Alligator mississippiensis: one gene and its partner. The main gene of each other region encodes a partner of the protein of the gene in region 2 in a complex. Links are inferred from orthologs where the notes say so. Each region holds a gene or a part of one and is shown on either strand. Other genes may lie near its edges.

The links.
Region 1: BAZ1A (region 2) and CHRAC1 share a complex: the UniProt entries of both Homo sapiens proteins name them as parts of the CHRAC ISWI chromatin remodeling complex. The link is inferred for Alligator mississippiensis from reciprocal best matches to the Homo sapiens genes BAZ1A and CHRAC1.

The regions. Positions count from the first base shown.
Region 1 is NC_081826.1:7,831,878-7,840,401, forward strand, and holds CHRAC1 (chromatin accessibility complex protein 1), read right to left. Parts: upstream 4,008-8,524; 5' UTR 3,976-4,007; coding exon 3,841-3,975; intron 3,715-3,840; coding exon 3,588-3,714; intron 2,205-3,587; coding exon 2,074-2,204; 3' UTR 1,154-2,073; downstream 1-1,153. UniProt on the Homo sapiens protein: Forms a complex with DNA polymerase epsilon subunit POLE3 and binds naked DNA, which is then incorporated into chromatin, aided by the nucleosome remodeling activity of ISWI/SNF2H and ACF1.
Region 2 is NC_081825.1:256,448,437-256,456,684, forward strand, and holds the start of BAZ1A (bromodomain adjacent to zinc finger domain protein 1A), read right to left. Parts: upstream 3,877-8,248; 5' UTR 3,786-3,876; intron 3,776-3,785; exon of another isoform or gene 3,524-3,775; intron 3,332-3,523; exon of another isoform or gene 3,181-3,331; 5' UTR 3,174-3,180; coding exon 3,061-3,173; intron 1-3,060. UniProt on the Homo sapiens protein: Regulatory subunit of the ATP-dependent ACF-1 and ACF-5 ISWI chromatin remodeling complexes, which form ordered nucleosome arrays on chromatin and slide edge- and center-positioned histone octamers away from their original location on the DNA template to facilitate access to DNA during DNA-templated processes such as DNA replication, transcription, and repair.

The DNA of each region.
Region 1 (8,524 bases), on a different chromosome or scaffold from region 2:
CAGGCAGAGGATGTGTATTGCTCTTTGACATAGAGCACCACACCCCTCCCTTCCTTCCTTCTCTATCCCGCCTGTAGAGCCTATAGTCCCTAATGATAACTGCCCAGTCGTGGGATGAATCCCACCACTATATTTCCTTACTTCTAAACTGCTATACAAAACCACTTTGTGGGGCCCCCTCCCCTGCAAGCAGCACTGCCTGGGCTGCACCAGCCAAGCTCAGCACCACTCACAGGGGATGGGGTTGCACCAGTTATGCCAAGCCTGGCCGTGTCTGCTGAGTGGCACTGCCGAGCGTTGAGCCCAGCAACACAGAGGATGGGGCTGGGCTCCATGCTTGGCTGCTGTGGCCTAGGTAGTACCACTTGCAGGGGATGGGGCTGCACCAGCTGAGCAGCACTCCCAGTCCTGTCTTCTGCAAATGGTGCTGGGCGTAGTGCTTGGCAGCACTGCTCGCAGCAGACGGGGCCAGGCTTGGCGCTCAGCTGGTGCAGCCCCATCCCCTGCAAGTGGTACCAGGCCCAGGCAGCGCCACTGGCAGAGGATGGAGTTGTGCCAGCCAAGCGCCAAGCCCAGCCTTGTTATCCCCTGCAAGCGGAGCTGCAGCACATGTTCACCCCTCAGGTGCCCGGCTGCAGTGAGGGCATGCAAGGGGCAGTATAAGTTAACCCCGTATTTCGGATCCAAAAAGTTAGGAATTTCATAGTTCTGGTGTATACGTCTTCTTAACTTTTTAGATCAGAAAAACGGGGACTTATACACCACATCGACCTATACACTGTGAAATATGGTAACTTAATTTACTACTTCTCCAGTAAGCGTCTTAGCCAGAAAGAGGGCAGATGAGACTGAAACATTTCTTTACAGGGGCATGGCCAGGGTTTATCCAGGCACGTTTCCCCTGAAACACACTGAAGCTGACCCACAACAAAGAATGTAAACTATTTGGAAGATCAGTGTGAATTCCTAGTGTCCCTTCTCCCCCCTCCCACTCAATCATTACTTTGTACTCATGGCTAGTCTTTTTTTTTTCTCCAACAGGATCCACATTCATTAAGTTTGCCCATCAGCAAGTTTGGGACAATTATGTTAATTGTGCACCAAAGATAAACTGGAAAGCCTACAGATGAGAAAGCTGTCAGGACCCTCTACATTAAATTCCACATTTTATAAAACATTTATTTAAAAAATTGTGTACAAAATTTTCTACACAGGGCTGTTTCCAATTTCATTGTAACAAAAATATTCCAGCTCTACCACTGACATGGTAAAAGGACTACTTATTTTCTTCCCATACAACCACCTCTAAACTTCACACAATATGCGTGTTGGTTAAATACCATAAACAGTATGCTGCAAAAGTAGAGACCTTGCTGAGGAAAACACAGGTTCTAGATGCACATATTTACACCACCTGCTAACACTTGTACTTCTTCATCACCACTACAGCCACAGACCTACACCACTAATTTGAACTAGTCTAGCCCTGTATCCAGTTTCCTTCTAGAGGAAGGAAGAGATTTGGACAGCACTGCAGAAGTCATGTTGGTTTTTAAGGGCTTGATCCATGGGTAGGTTCTAGACCCATATAGGAGAACTGGGATAGAGATCTGAACCAGTTATCTGCTTCTTGGCTGGCAGAAGGCAAATACTATTGATAGAGTATATACAGCCTCTTCAAGTTGATTACCAACAGCATCAGCTGTAAGAGGGGATCCATTTAACCACCTAGAGAGAACGCGAGAGACCTTTGGCCTGGATGATGAGGGCTGCCCACAAGAAATGTGGTAATGATTGTCTAAGTTACTTTAAAAAGAATGAGCTAGTTCTGTCTCCAGATCTGTAGGAACTCTTCCCCTCGTGTGTGTGTGTGTTTGTGTGTGTGTGTATCTGGGGGATAATTCTGTCCTTCAGGCTGTGTGTGTGTCATTGGATAAAGCTTCTTAAAACAAAAATAGAAAACAGGTGACTTCACATACAAATAAATCCAGCAGTTGGATTCTCAGTCACAAAAAAATAACATCTTTTATACAACAGGAAAAAGACCGAATATGAAGACAGTCTGATAAACCCTTAAGATTCGGCGTCTTCTTCACTCTCATCTTCCTCTTCTTCCTTCTCCTCCTCCTTCACCTCTCCATCTCTCTTCTCCTTTTCAAGCATTTTCAGGTATTTGCTAGCTAGGATCTTCTTTGGCAAGATATCTGAAAGGCAGAATTGCTGATTTTGTGCTCATTTAGAACAGTTATATTTAGGACAGTTATTACTGTGGCATTTAAAGTCACTAATTACTAGCTGCACAGTTCACAGAATGCAACTTTTTAGTCTAGGGAACAACAAGATGAGTTATTTCAATCTATAATAATCATACTTGGAAGAGGAACAATGGCTAACGTAATAGTAGAGAGTTTTCATCCAATTAAGGCTCGAACGCTAGAATTTGTCTTCTTTTGAGAGAGATTCTTAATTATAGAGGTTTAAATTCTGAAACCTGTTATGCTGTTTTTAGCCGGTTGCAGTTGGTGTGGACGCTGCCACTGCCACGGTCAGCAGTTACTTGCACCGTAGAACAACACTGGATATGAGGTTTACCTGCTCTAGGTATATCCCTTGCAAGCAATTCCTCTATGCTCCATTTAGGGATCTGTCCAGGACACCATTATAGATCAGGGGTGCCAAACATGCAGCCCGTGGAGCTATTTCATGTAGCCTTGCTGGTAGCCCGGCGGACTCCTGGAAGTTGGGGCGTATGGCCCGCCACACAATTTGGGGTCCGTGGACCCCAATGGACATGGCCATCAGCAGCAGCCCCCCAGCTCTGTGCTGCTGCCTGAATGCAGCCCATCACCACCACCACCCAGCCCTGGACTCACGTTGCTGCCTGGATGTGACCCTACCACACTGGCTGCTGGCCCCACAGATCTGGCCTGGGGGGAGACCCTGCAGTTCAGATCTGGCCCGGGGTAAGTTTGACACTGCTCTTACAGCTGATGACCTCGAGAGATGGGAAAGTGGACTGCTTGCTAAGGCAACACTGCTAAAAAGGTGCCTAGAATGAGACCACCATCCTAGCACGTTCTTATGAACAAGCAGGGCTAACCCCAAAGCGCCCAAGTCCGAGAGCAACACGTGAACGTTTGTGGTCCTGTTCCCACCTCAGACGCGTTTGTGCATCGAACGCTCATCCATTCATAGCTCTGAGCTGGTACGTTTCCTAAAAGCCTCCCCCACCGCCTGCCTTGCTCTTCTCTAAGCGGATTTACAGGTGTGTGGCCTGGTGGGTAAAGCAGACGATGCGAGCATCAGCGCTTCTGGGCTTTACACCCAGATCTTACACTGCCGTAACTGGGGCTGCTTCACCTCCCGTCGCTCGGCCTCCTCATTCGGACAGCCGTGACGCGACCGTTGTGACAAGGCATCAAGGCGCTCGACGGCGCCGACTGTCCCCAGACGCCGGCCCAGCGCGTCCCGCGACTTCGTACTGCGGCGCAGACGGCCCCCGTCGCGCGATGTGTGCCGACGCCACGGGGCAGCACCGTGCGCGAGACCGTGGCTTTGCCCCCCAGCCCGCCCGCGGCGACACGCACCTGCGAGGAACTGAAAGGTTTCGCACTCCTCGGCCGTGTGCGACAGGTCACTGTAGGTCAGGGCTCTCTTCTCCTTGCCTCGCCCGTGCTTGTACGAGTACGAGGCCAAGTACTGGACAAACAGCTCCTGCAAACCACCGGAAGAGAGACGTCAAGAGCCGCCTTCCCGCGCCGGCCCCGCTTCACGCCGCAGCGGACGCTTGCCTCCCCCCACACCCCCGCATGTCCCCCCCGGGCGGGCCGAGGGCGGTACCGTGGCGCGGGCGGTGAGGAAGAGCGCGTCCTGGTTGATGCTGGACACCTCGGGGGAGCTCTTCATGATGACGCGGATGCGGGACAGGGGCAGCGACACCAGCCGGTTCTCGCCGCCGCTCGGCCGCGCCGCCATCCTGCCCCGCGCCGCGGGGGCCGCCGGGAGCTGTAGTGCTGCGCCGTCGCGGGCGGGAGGGAGAACTACGAGTCCCAGCATGCACCGCTCGCCTCACCACCACCTCCTCCTCCTCCCCCCGCGCGGCGGGAGAAGGCCTACACGTCCCAAGATGCACCGGGGCGCTCAGGAACTCACCCCTCCCCCCCCCCCCCGGCCTCCGGCGCGCGGAGGGGTTTGAGCCCAGTCGGGGTCAGACATGCGCGTCCCGGATGAGCATCGAGAGCGGAGCAGGGCGGCATTGAGACACGTGTGTGCCCTGGGGCCATTCTTCGGTGTTCCCCCCCTCCCCTCGCAACACACCGTGTCTCACCTGCTACACAGTCCAATGAAACCTGGGTCCAAACCAGCTGTGGAGTTGTTACGTGTTTTCAAGCACTAACTTTATGTAGCTGCTCGGCTCGCTTTCCAGCTTGGTAGTCATTTTTGTCCTGTGATCGTGACTTCGTGTGTGTGGCTGGTCTGCATTGATCGCAGGTAGCCGCGCGATCCTTACTCGGCGCTCCTGGCCCGTGTGACTTTGCAGGGGCCTGTGCTTCAAGCTATTGCAAAAATGTCTTGCCTCATTACACAAAAGGCTTCACGGCTAAGAACTGTAAACTGCAAATTGTTTCTTCTCTCCCCCACCACTGCGGGGCCAGGAAGGGTGGGGGGCCTGTTAGGGGGAGAGCACAGTCTGAACAATGCTTGGTTCACGATAAGGCTGATTCCTGTGGGAACACAGATTAGTTACTGCCTGCTTTGCACGTAAACTTTGTAGAAAACTGTAGCAAATCACAGATTGCCACAATGGGATCTTGTTCATGAGAGGTATCAAAATGTATCTTCGGGCGTGGCTAGGGTTCGACTCGGATTTGGGCTTTGAGCTCCCTTGTTGATCTGTTTGCAAACAAATAAACTTGAGATGGATCCAGCCTGAGTGTGTATGACTCTCCCTTGAGGTATATTGGAAAAGCCTCCAGGGACACGAAACTAGCCATTTGTGCAACAAAGCTAAACTGTTTCTGGGCTTAGACGGCCTGTAGGAGGGATGTGGTCACGCACCCAGCACGAAGCGATGCAGGGGTCTCGGGTCTCCAACACGGTTCTGAGCCCGCTGAAATCAAGTGGGGTTTTGCCGTTTATTTTACTAAAGCCAGGATTTCATCCATAATCTCCAAGCACCGATAAACATGCATGGTGATGTGCTGCCAGAAAATTACGGTCCATGATCGTTGGTTGGAGCAGTCTGACACTGCATGATAAATTAATGATGATAAATACTTTGCATTTCTAGGGGTTTAGGTTGTAGCCGTGTTGGTCTAAGGACATAGGCAGACAAGGTTCCTTGGGTGAATCTGATATCTTTTATTAGACCAACCCAAATGGTTGGAGAATAGTTATTAAGCAAGCTTTCAGGTTCAAAAACCCTTCGTCAGACTAAGGAAGCTGCAGCAGTTGGTGTGTGCTCTTTCTGGATGGGATGAAAAGTGAAGAAGCCAGGGGCTGGGCTGGGCTGGGGAGTCAGTTGCCAGGCAGATTATAATGTATCAAAAATCCAGTGTCTGTTTAGTCCATGATCTCTAGCATCCAGCAGGTTGATGAAATGGAGCTCATAGGCTCATCTCTGGGAAGTGGTGTGTAAATTTCCCTTGAGGATCAGGACTGAGAGAGTGGCCCTCCTGTGAGAAATGTGCCCCCACCGGTAATTGGGTGTTTCTGTCTTTGATGGATTTCCGGTGTGCGTTCATTCTGGTGTGCAGTTGTTGTCTGGTCTCTCCTACATATCTTCCATCAGGGCATTTGGTACATTGGATGAGGTATACTACATTTCTGGAGGTGCAGCTGTAAGATCCTGGGATGCTGATGGCTCTGTTGTGGGGTGTAGTAATAGTGGGGGTGGTGGAGATGTGTTGGCAGGTTTTGCATTTCTTGTCCTGGCACGGTCTGGATCCTTTTGGTGTGTTCTGGGCTTGAGGAAGTTTGCTTCTGGTGATGAGGTTGGCGAGGTTTGGTGCTTGTTTGAAGGCTAGGATGGGTGGCTCTGGGAAGATCTTTTTAAGAATAGGGTCTCTTTCTAATATGGGTTGCAATTTTTTGAGGATTTTCCATACAGGTTCAAGGGATGGATGATATGTCATAACCAGCGGTGTGCAATTTGTGGGTGTTTTTCTTCTGTACTGCAGCAGTTCTTCACGTGGTATCCAGGTGGCTCTTTCAAACGTGCGGTTTACCTCTCTGGAGGAGTGTCCATTTCTAGAGCATTTCTAGAGCACCTTTATTCTGAGGCTGGGCGGACAGGTGGCTTCATCACCTGTGTGACATAGGTAAGAGATCCATAGTGATATCTTCATCCACCACATCTCATCTGCAGGATACAAACATGCTACACCTCAGTTTTAGGTAGGAATGGAAGTGTAAGATCATACTAAATAGAAAATGCAGGGGATCAGGTACAATGTAATTAACTGCCTTGAGCTACAATCAATAAACTAGGGCTAAACTCTGAGAATGAATGAATCCAAGCACCTACCTAATGTGAGTGAGCATCTCTGCCACAACTCTAGGCTGCAATGCCATGCCAGGTGACTATCTGAGTCATTAGTATAGCTCCAGCAACATTGTAGTCTCCTATACAATGGAATAGGAAGTCTCCTATACAATTAGTAACCACGCACAACCAGTCCCATGAGACTAACTTTTCTAGGGCAGAGGTTCCCCAGTCTTTTTTTTATTTTATACCCCTTTCCAGATTTACCAGCGGCCCACGTAACCTTACCACATACATTTTATATTTTAACCCCTTAAATGTCAATTATTAAAATAAAAATTAAATCTGCCATTATACAATTTCTCCTGAGTACTCCCCAGAGATGTCTTGCCAGAGTTACACGTACTACAGTTTAGGAACCTGTTTCATAGTTCCAGGTGGTGCCTGGGGGGAACAGAGGCTCACCTATTTTCCACTGGTCCCCCCTGGTGAGTTTATAGACAGACACCAGATCCCCTCTCAGTCTTCTCTTGTAGAGGCTGAATACATTCAGGCCCTTTAGTCTATCTTCATAGGTCAGGCCCTTTAGTCTATCTTCATAGGTCCTGGCCTGCTACCCCCTGACCATGTAAGTGGTCCTCCTCTGGACCCTCTCAATGCTGGCCACATCCCTCTTGAAGTGCGGTGCCCAGAACTGGACACAGTACTCTAACTGCGGCCTGACCAGCGCCGCATAGAGGGGAAGGATCACCTCCCTGGACCTGCTTGTGATGCACCTACTTATGTAATCATACTTGGAAGAGGAACAATGGTGCAGTTTTCATTGGTGCAGTTAGCTTTACTGACCACTTCCTCGCATTGGCGGCTCATGTCGATTCTGGAGTCAGCAATAACTCCAAGATCCCTTCCAGCCACTGTGTTGTTGAGAAGGGTGTTCCTCAGCCTATAGGTATGTTGCAGGTTCCTTCTCCCTAGATGCAGCACCTTGCGCTTGTCTGTGTTGAATTCCATTCTGTTCTCACCTGACCACCTTTGTAACCTGTCTAGATCTAGCTGGATTCTGTCCCTCCCCTCCAGCGTGCCCACTTCTCCCCACATCTTTGTGTCATCCGTGAATTTGGACAGCGTGCTTTCCACACCCACCTCCAAGTCGCTGATAAAGATGTTGAATAGATATCTGTTCTATAATAAGGACGTGGTGTTTGTTTTGTGTAAAACATTTGGTGTGAACAATCATTCACCATGATGCTATGTGCATTGTTTTTACTGTTTAACTCTCTGTATGGTTCCTTGAGCCTTACCTTGTCATGACATCTTGTGGCAGCAGTTGGCATTACTGTCACAGTAACCTAAAGACGAATGCAGTGTATTCTTAGCCTTGTCCAAGGCTATCCCAGCCATGCAGTTAGTCCAATAAAGGACAACGCTGAGCTACAACATCACTCCAACACTATCAGAGTAAAATAATGAATAGTGTAAATTAAGAAGAATTATCTTGGATATTTCACAGGGTTAACTGTACCACAAAGAGTCAAGGGTAAAAACAGAAGTTAAAGTTTGACAGCGAGCTCATATGTCTGTAGGATCCCGGAATAAAAGGCGTTGTCTAGGAGAAATCTGACATCTGTTCTTAGCCTAAGGACTAGTATGACAAGCCTTGAAGATGACAGGGGTGAGTTAGTTTCAGAGCTGTTAGTATTGCAGGACTGAGGATAGGTAAGGTACTTACTGTGCTGTTAGAGGGCCTGAAACTGAGCAGTTCCTCCTATTTTCAAGGCTTGTCATAGCAGCTCCCAAACAAAATTGGAAGCCCTGAAAAAGGAGAAGCTAATCAGTTCCAGGGCTGCTAATATCACAGCACCAACACACTGTACTTAATGAGGATTGCTTATCTTAAGGTCAGGTAAGCACTACGTGGGCTAAGCACATAGCTTGTCTTCAGTCTCTAGGCCAGTAATTCTCAACCAGGATAGCTTGTTCCAGCCTGGTCAGTCTGCCACCTGCACTTCTCAGCCTCTCTGGTAGTATAAATTAGCTTTT
Region 2 (8,248 bases):
CGTTCATAATTTTCATTTCTCAAGTCTAACAAATTCTTTCTTTATTGGTCATCACTGTACTAATCAATCTCAGTCTTTCTAGGCTTTCTTTATATGATCTTCCATACCTCATGATCATTTTCATTGTACATCTATTATTTTTCTTTTTGGGACAGGATTTTAAAATAATATTTCCATTCCACTTCTCATGCATTCCAATATGTTAGTTTTTTCAGCTGTCACTAAAAACTGAGAAAGTTTTCACTGAGCTGTCCACAATGATACCTAGATCTTTTTCCTGAACTGTTACAACTGAGCAAAGCAAAACATGGATAGTTTAAACTGTTCCTTCCACCATGCAATATTTTGCAATTATCAATCCTGATTTTATTCTGCCATCCTTTGTTCCTCTAACTGCATTCCCCACTGACCCACCAGTCTTGATAAATCTAAATAACTGTCATCTGCAAGTTTTGCCATCTCACTGCAAAACCCTAGTATTACAAAATTATGAGGTTATTTCCCTTTAAGGTGAAATAAGTTCTCAACAGGAAATTCTCTTTCCCAAACATTAGCCCTACTGAGTCTTATATGCACCGGATACTGGCATAATGACTCTTCATTAAAAAAAAAAAAGAATACTAAAGTGAGAAGTATCTTATCTCCCCTACTGCTGCTAGTCATGTAAAAGTAACTTTGCTACTAGATCATTTCCAATTTTGTAATTTATGCAAATATGCAACAATACCCAACTAAGTCTTAGGCATATGTGGTAATTTGAAGCATATGAAAACACAACTGTGGGGGGGTGTTCACTGCACATACATGCAACTTACTAGTCAAATCAAGCCTACTCGATTTATTTACATGCCTAAAATTTACTTAAATTCAACAGAATACAAGTTTGCATTAAAAAAGCTCTCATATTTATGACTGCAAAACTAACCTTTCAGATACAGAGTGTGAACTGATGCAGAATTGCCTCCCCAGTTTTTGAGAACCTTAGATAATGGTTAGTTTCAGAAAACAGCTAGTGCAATTGTAGACAGCATGAACACTCTGTCTGCATAAATCTAATTAGTGTTGCATGGATAAGAAAAGGAGGTGTTTTTCCCCCCCAAAAAATGTTAGTTATTTCAAATACCACTTCATATTTGGTGGAAACTGTTTGACACCTTAAACTAGATGCTAGATGGTGAGTGATCATAGGCTACACAGTACTCCCCCTTATCCTGGGATGGCCACAGCTTGACATCAGTACATGAACTGAAGTTTAACCATGTCAAGACATAAGTTAACCTGTTTTAAAACAACCAAAAAAACCCCAATGCATGATCTATTTCCCCTGCCTAGACAAAGGCATAAGGAAGCAGGAAAGAAATGGACAGGACGATAGGGAAGAGCAGAAAAGAAGAGTGTTTTTCCATTAAGAAAAACCTAATGAGAACTATTAAATGAGAGTGTAGCAACTACAGAAATCCCATATTCTAAGGGCATTTAAACCCAAAAGCTTACAAAGAAGAATTTTTTCAACTGTTTGGGTTGGCCTAATAAAAGATAATCCAATTTACCCAAAGAACCTTGTCCACTTATATTCAACCCTTGGTCTCTGTGCACCATCCATTGACATTTTATGGCTCTGTGTGTTGTGAATGGAAAGCATTTATGAGATAAGTTTACCCTTAACCTGGAGCTCCAGCCCAAATGGAACTTGCTGCTTTACAAAGAGTTAGTGATATCCCCACAATATCTTTTCAGGGCACCCAGGACAGACAGGCTCAATCTTGGATCCAGTAAGCATCTTTCCAAAAAACCTACAACTTGATTTTCAGCCCCTACCAGCACTCATTTAGTATGAACCATAAAATGGCACCGTGACAAATGTAATTTCAAAGTATCATCAGTTAGGAAATTTTTAAATTTCTGCAGAGATATGAACTCTTTGTTTCCAATGTTTTATGTCCTCATAACCTGCCTAGAAACCCAGCGCAATAAAACTTTTTAAGAAACTTTATTTTGCATTTTCACTCCCCCTTGGTCCATTATTTTGCCCCGACAGCAACCACATGACTGCCCTTTGCTGTTACCTAATCTGAGTTTATTTGGTGATGTCTATTTGAGTAAGAAAAACAAGTCTAAGCATGAGGAAATTTAGGCGTGCTCTGGTTTCACAGGCTGCAAAGGATCCCAGAAGGAATCTGGTTAGGCTGTGCTTCTTAAAAAAAATTAAAAATAAATAAAGAAACGAGAGGATTTGAGCTTCCGAAATATTTTGTGGGATGCAGAGGGGGTCATGAAATGTCCGTGTCTTACACCCTGCTGGAAAGGTACAAGGGAGACACTCGGTCAGCTTGGGAGCAATCCCGGGAACACTTTGGACCTGTTCGGCTCACAAGGAATGAAAACCAGTGGGAGGTTTTTTGTTTGTTTTTCCCCGTCTCTCTTTTTTATTCTTGCTGCAAAAGCCCACAGGCCCCGTGTGTCACGCCGCGGGGGTGTGAGGGACCCGCGCAGACCCGGCAGGAAGGGCCCGAGCGGCGGCCGGGGCAGGGGAAGCGCCGGTCCCGTTCGGCGACCCCCGGGGCGGGGGCAGGCGAGCGTTGGCCGCTGCCGGCCAGGGCGCGGGGCGGGGCGGAGCCGGGCCCGCCGGGAGGGCGGCACCAAGGGGCAGCGCGTCCCGCCGGGCCGGAGTGTGAGGCGGCTCCGCGCCCCCAACAATAGCGCGGGCGGCAGATGTCAGCCCGCACGCGGCCGCCGCCTCGGCCCGGCCCGGCGACAGTTTGCGTCCCGCGGGGAGCGGCCCGGCTGCACGCCCCGGGCCTGGCCTAGCAGCGGCCGCAGACACGCGGCTCAGGGGGGACAAATCCCGCCCGCGGCCCCGCTAAACTTTCACTTCCCCCCGCCGGGCCCCGCCCGCGCCATCGGGAGGGGCGCGGGTGCCTCCTGCCGGGCTGGGCCGGGGAATCCCCTCCCCTCTCCTCTCCGCTCCTCCCCTCCCCCCGCCAGGTGTCAGCCGTTCGGGCGGCTCAACCGCCGAGGGCCGGGGGGGGGCCCGGGGGCACGCGGCCGCGCCGCCCTTACTCGTAGTCCCTGAAGATCTCGTTGGTGACCCTGCAGTAGAAGACGCGCTCGTCCGGCCGCAGGTCGGCGGGGGGCTGCTCCCTCACGAAGGGCTTGCGGTGCAGCAGCGGCATCGCCCCGCTTCCGAGTGGAGGGAAAAGAGAGGGGGAACCGTGAGCACGGCGGCGGCGGCCCGGAGCGGAGCGGAGCCCGCTGCCTTTTGTGTGCCCGACGCGCCGCCGCCGCCGCCTGCCTGGGACTGACGGCGCGAGCGGGGAGCTGCGGAGCCTTCCTCCTTCCCCGCCCCCCCCCGGCGGCGGCCGCCGCCGCCTCACAATGGGGCAGTGACGCCGCCGAGCAGCAGGCGGAGGCGGCGCTCCTGCCCCCCCGCGGCCCGCGCCACACAACGTGCTGGGCCCGGGGATCCCCCGCCCCCGCCCGCCGCTTTGTCTGCCCCGGGGTCGCGCCGGCCGCCGTCTCTGACCTGCGCGCGCCGGGCTGGACACCAAGTTGCCCGCGCGCCCCCCCCGCACAGCCCGGCGGCGGGGGCAGGGAGCGCCGCTCGTCGCTTCCTCCTTCCTCGCGCGGAGGAGCCCCTCCGCCCGCCTTTCTCCTCCTGCCCAGGCAGCGCTGCCTGCGGGCTCTGCCGCCGGGCTGCCCCCTCCTCCCCCCGGCGCGGAGCGAGGCGTCCCCTGCCCCCCGCCGGGCTGTGGCCGGGGTCGGCTCTCTGCCTGCCGCCCGCCTACCTGCGGGGGGAGAGGGTGGCTGTGGTGCGGAGGGCTGCCTAGCTCCTGCTCTTCCCTTCAGCTCCTGGGAAGTTTTTTGATCTACTTCTTCAGCCCTCGATCAGGAAGAGCTGCTGGGAGGAGCTTTCCACTTCTCTCCTCTACATCTTTATTGGCCACTCGGTGCCTTCCAGCGTGTGTCACACAGGAAGACAGAGAGCTACATTATTAATTAATGGCTGAGAGGACTCATCCTCCATTTTTGAATGATCGGCCCCGAGATCCGCCGCGCGCCAGGGGCCGGGTGGTGGCGGGGGCAGCCCGGCCGCCGGACCCCCACCCCGCGCCTGGGGCTCCCAGCTGACAACCTCCTCGGACACTAGAGACGAGAAAGCTGCCGAGAGCCGGGGCGGCGTGTGGTCGGGGAGGGGAATAAAGACTTTTCAAACGCTCTTTTCTTTCCGTCTCTCTCTCCCCTTCCAAAACACTCCTGCCACTGCCAAAAACACTTCGCTCTGCAGAAGAACCTAGAGCACTTCAGAGACCCCCCCTCTTCATCCTGGACAAAAAAAGCTACTGTCCATAGTACTTGTCCATACAGCCAGGAGAGAAATATCAACATTTAATAGAGTCTTCCAGTCTAACTAGCAACAAAGGCTTTGGTGTTGGATAATAGAAGTACAGAGAAACCTGTCTCCTAATATTTAAGTGCAAAGGGATATGTTGTCATCTGAGTTCAGGAACAAGAAGGGTACGCTGTGCCAGTTACAAGTCTCAAGTATAACACTTATTCTCCTTAGATGTGTGGGCCCCAGAGCAGTGTCTCCTGCTCTCATGTCACCTGAGATATGCTCATATTACTCTATGAAAGCACATGCTGCTATTGCTTGTAATGTTCGATTTTTATTTCACTTGGCATATTTTAAAGATTACTGTATTGGTTGATAGGGTTCTCAGGTGCGCAGGAGGCTTTACAGAGCCACAAAAGAAGATAAACTCCATATCCTAAGAAACATCAAATCTAAAGTCTCAGGCAAAAAGTTGTGAGTAACCACAAACTCACTGGGACTAAGAATTTGAAGAGCTGGTGCTTAAATAGAACGTTACCATCCACACCCCTGATCCTGGAAATACGTGGGCTTGTGTTTTGTCCTGCACCTGTGCAGACTTCCACTGACCACCCAGGCCAGGCGCATGCATGGGTTAAGCTTGGAAAGTCAAGCTCTCCTGATGAGAGGAAAAGGAGCTGTGAAAACATTACCTTGTATGTAGGTAGCTCTCCCTCCTGTTCATGTTACCCTCCCACTACAGATAATTTAACAGCCCATTTGCACAAATTTGGAGAGATGAAGAAAGATCAATACATTCAAATCACATCTATTAAATGAAGTGGAAAAGAAAAAAAAGAGCATACAATGGGCCCAGGCAGACCATGTGTGGATGAAAAAGAAAGTGCAAGACGAGCCTGCATAGCAAACCCATTCACAAGTGATGTGACTTCATCTTAGGAGCAGTAAATTCATCAGGCAATTTTCTAACACTTTCAAACATCACAGGTTAGCTTTTGTTTGTAGACAACCCCTCCCAGAGTCAGCCAATTAATCTGCCAACCGCCTCCTTTCATCATGTCTATCTTTCTGATTTATCAGTGGGGTCAGAGTGCCCAGGAGTCACCTCCCACCTTAGATTCTGGTGTAAGGTCACATTCGATCTTTGTTCTGCACAGAAGCTCCAGGAATCGAGAGCCTGAAGGCCCTTGGCACCACTTTCTTTTCTATGATCTTGGTACTATCAAGGGGGCCTGCTATTCACCACACCAGCTATTGGGCTTATGCAGAAGTCCTGAATGTTCTTGCACTAAGGTGAGAGTCAAGGGTCCGTTCAGACCTCCAGAATCCCAGGAGCATATATGTCTATAGACCAGACTGTACCAGAGAGGGGCCACCAGCAAGGCTGCTCCAAAGTCAAGGATCTCAAGTGTGACTACAAGCAGGCATGGGACACAAACCACCACTCAGGCACCAATTATGCCACAGCTCCATGCTATGAGTAGCTGGACAAAATGTTTTCAAAAGCTTCCCATATCAAAGTGGACAGAAACAGACCTCAGTTAGACCATGGTATGTGGAGCTAAGGGCTTCTACGGTCAAAGAGGTCTCTGACAGCCAGAACCTTTTCACCAGCCAGGAGGCTGAGCAGTCCAAACTAGATTCCAAGGTCTCCCAAACAACCACAAGCCAGCCTGCTGCTACACAGGCCACAACTCTCCGAGTCACTGCGATCAGGAAAAGATGCACAGATGGCATGACTGGAATGCATGTTTGCCTTTTGAATCAGTTCATGCCATTTTGTATTGCCCAGACTGCTTAAAAATATCTTGCACTGGAAGCAGCATGAACAAGCAACATGACCATCCCAGTGACAGCTACTCCATGGGGGACAGTAAGAACAGTGCCTTCTGGAAGCATTGCTGCTTTAACCCCTCTAACCAACAAGTTGGCCTGATGGCCCACCACTCCGGCCCCCAGGAATGTGGGGTCTTTCATTTGTGCCTCTGAGCTTAGCCTAACAAAGACTGAAATGCCCCCAAATTCATCAAGTTTCTAGTGGTTTTCTCATTAACTTGTACATAGGTAGCTCTCCCTCCTGTTCATGTTACCCTTCCACTACAGATAATTTAACAGCCCATTTGCATAGAAGACACAAATTTGAAGAGATGAAGAAAGATCAATACATGCAAATCACAGCTATTGAATGAAGAGGAAAAGGTAAAAGAGAGCCCATGGCATACAATGGCCACAGAGATACCATGTGTGGATGAAAAAGAAAGCACAAGAAGAGCCTACATAGCAAACCCATTCACAATGACGCCCAGGACAGAAAGAAGGCAATCAGTTTTCTTGTGTGCAATTCAGAGCTATCATGACAGTGTTTCATTGTGACACCTTAGCAATATTCATGGGGTTTCCTCAGAGTAGGTTGCCAGTGAGCTATCTTGTCACTAGAATGAGGTGTCTGTTTCGTTTGTCATAATTGCAGACAGGTGGTTACTCCAATCACTGGGCCAGTCTCTCTTTGCCTCCACCAACCCACCCCTTTGCAGGTCCTTTATGCAATTTCCCAGACTTCTGCAGTAACATAAGTGAATCTTTTGCAGTGGTTGACTTGGCTTAGCAGTAATATCTATGTAAAAGAACGCTCTTCCTATGAACTCCAAGTCCTGCAGGAGGACAGGGGAGGGCAAAGAATGTATGCTCTATCACTCCTAATTGGTGGTCTAAAATGGTTATTCTGCTTCCAGTAGCATAACTAGGGCGAGATGACCAAGGCAGCCACACAGGCAACCATTTGGAGGTAAGGGAGAAACCACTGTCACCACAGCCACACAATCATGCCAGTGGCACAGCAGGAACCACTGCTGTCCCCATGTGTTGCAGCTGCCCCAGACACCCAGCTGCATTGTAATGCCTCTTCTTCCATAGGTCTGTAGCAAGCTCTGTGCAGATTTCTAGGAACATATCATGCCATGGCACTGTGGTAGACATCTTTCATTGCACTGGGAGATGCATAACTCTATAAAACCCGAAAAGAATAAACCCTGGCTGCCAAGTCCCAGTCTACAAGCATTTTCTCATTCATGGTAGCTGAGCACAGACTACTCATTTGTCCACAGCTTCGCCTCTCATGGCTTATTCTTTCATGTGTTCATGGCCTGAGACTCCATGTAGATGTAGTGATCTACATTAGCGTAACCTGTAGGGATGATGCTTATGTTAAAGATTACAGCCTACATCTTGAATTATTCTCCTAAAATGTTGTTTAGTCCTTGATATTTTACAGCGATTAGCCTTATTCCACCCATTCAGTCAGTTTACAAAACATTTAGCTTGTTGAGCTCTGAACATCATTTCTTCCAAGTCCCCTCAAAACCCTACCAGTTTATATTCCATATTCACCAGTGAAGCCACTTTAGTTTTAAATAAATTTATAGTGAAGGGCAGAGATGTGACTGTAAATTAATCAGTTAAAAAGCACATTACAGTTTATATATATAGCCCCTTGGGGCTCAAAAGGAGTCTATCCCATTACATAGGAAGGGAGGTAAGGGGGCAAAAAAGCCCCCTTGGCTGAACAGGGAACTCCAGGAGAGTCTGGGGGCAAAGAAAGAGAATTAAAGGCAATGGAAACAGGGAGCAGCCACCAAGGAGAAATATATCTCCCTGGCGTGCTATTGCAGGGAATCAGTCAGACAGGCCAAGGTGGGGCTTGAGCTCAGGCTGGCTTCAACAATCAAGGACAATTAGAAGTCCTTCAGGTATATAGTGGGCAAAAGGAAAGCTCAGAGCAACATAGGGCCCCTGCAGGACAAATCAGGACAGCTGGTGGCTGACACAGGGGAAAAAAGCAGAGCTCTTCAATGAGTTCTTCACTTCGGTATTTCTAAGTACCGACTAAGCCAATTCCCCTACCTTGATCATTGACGG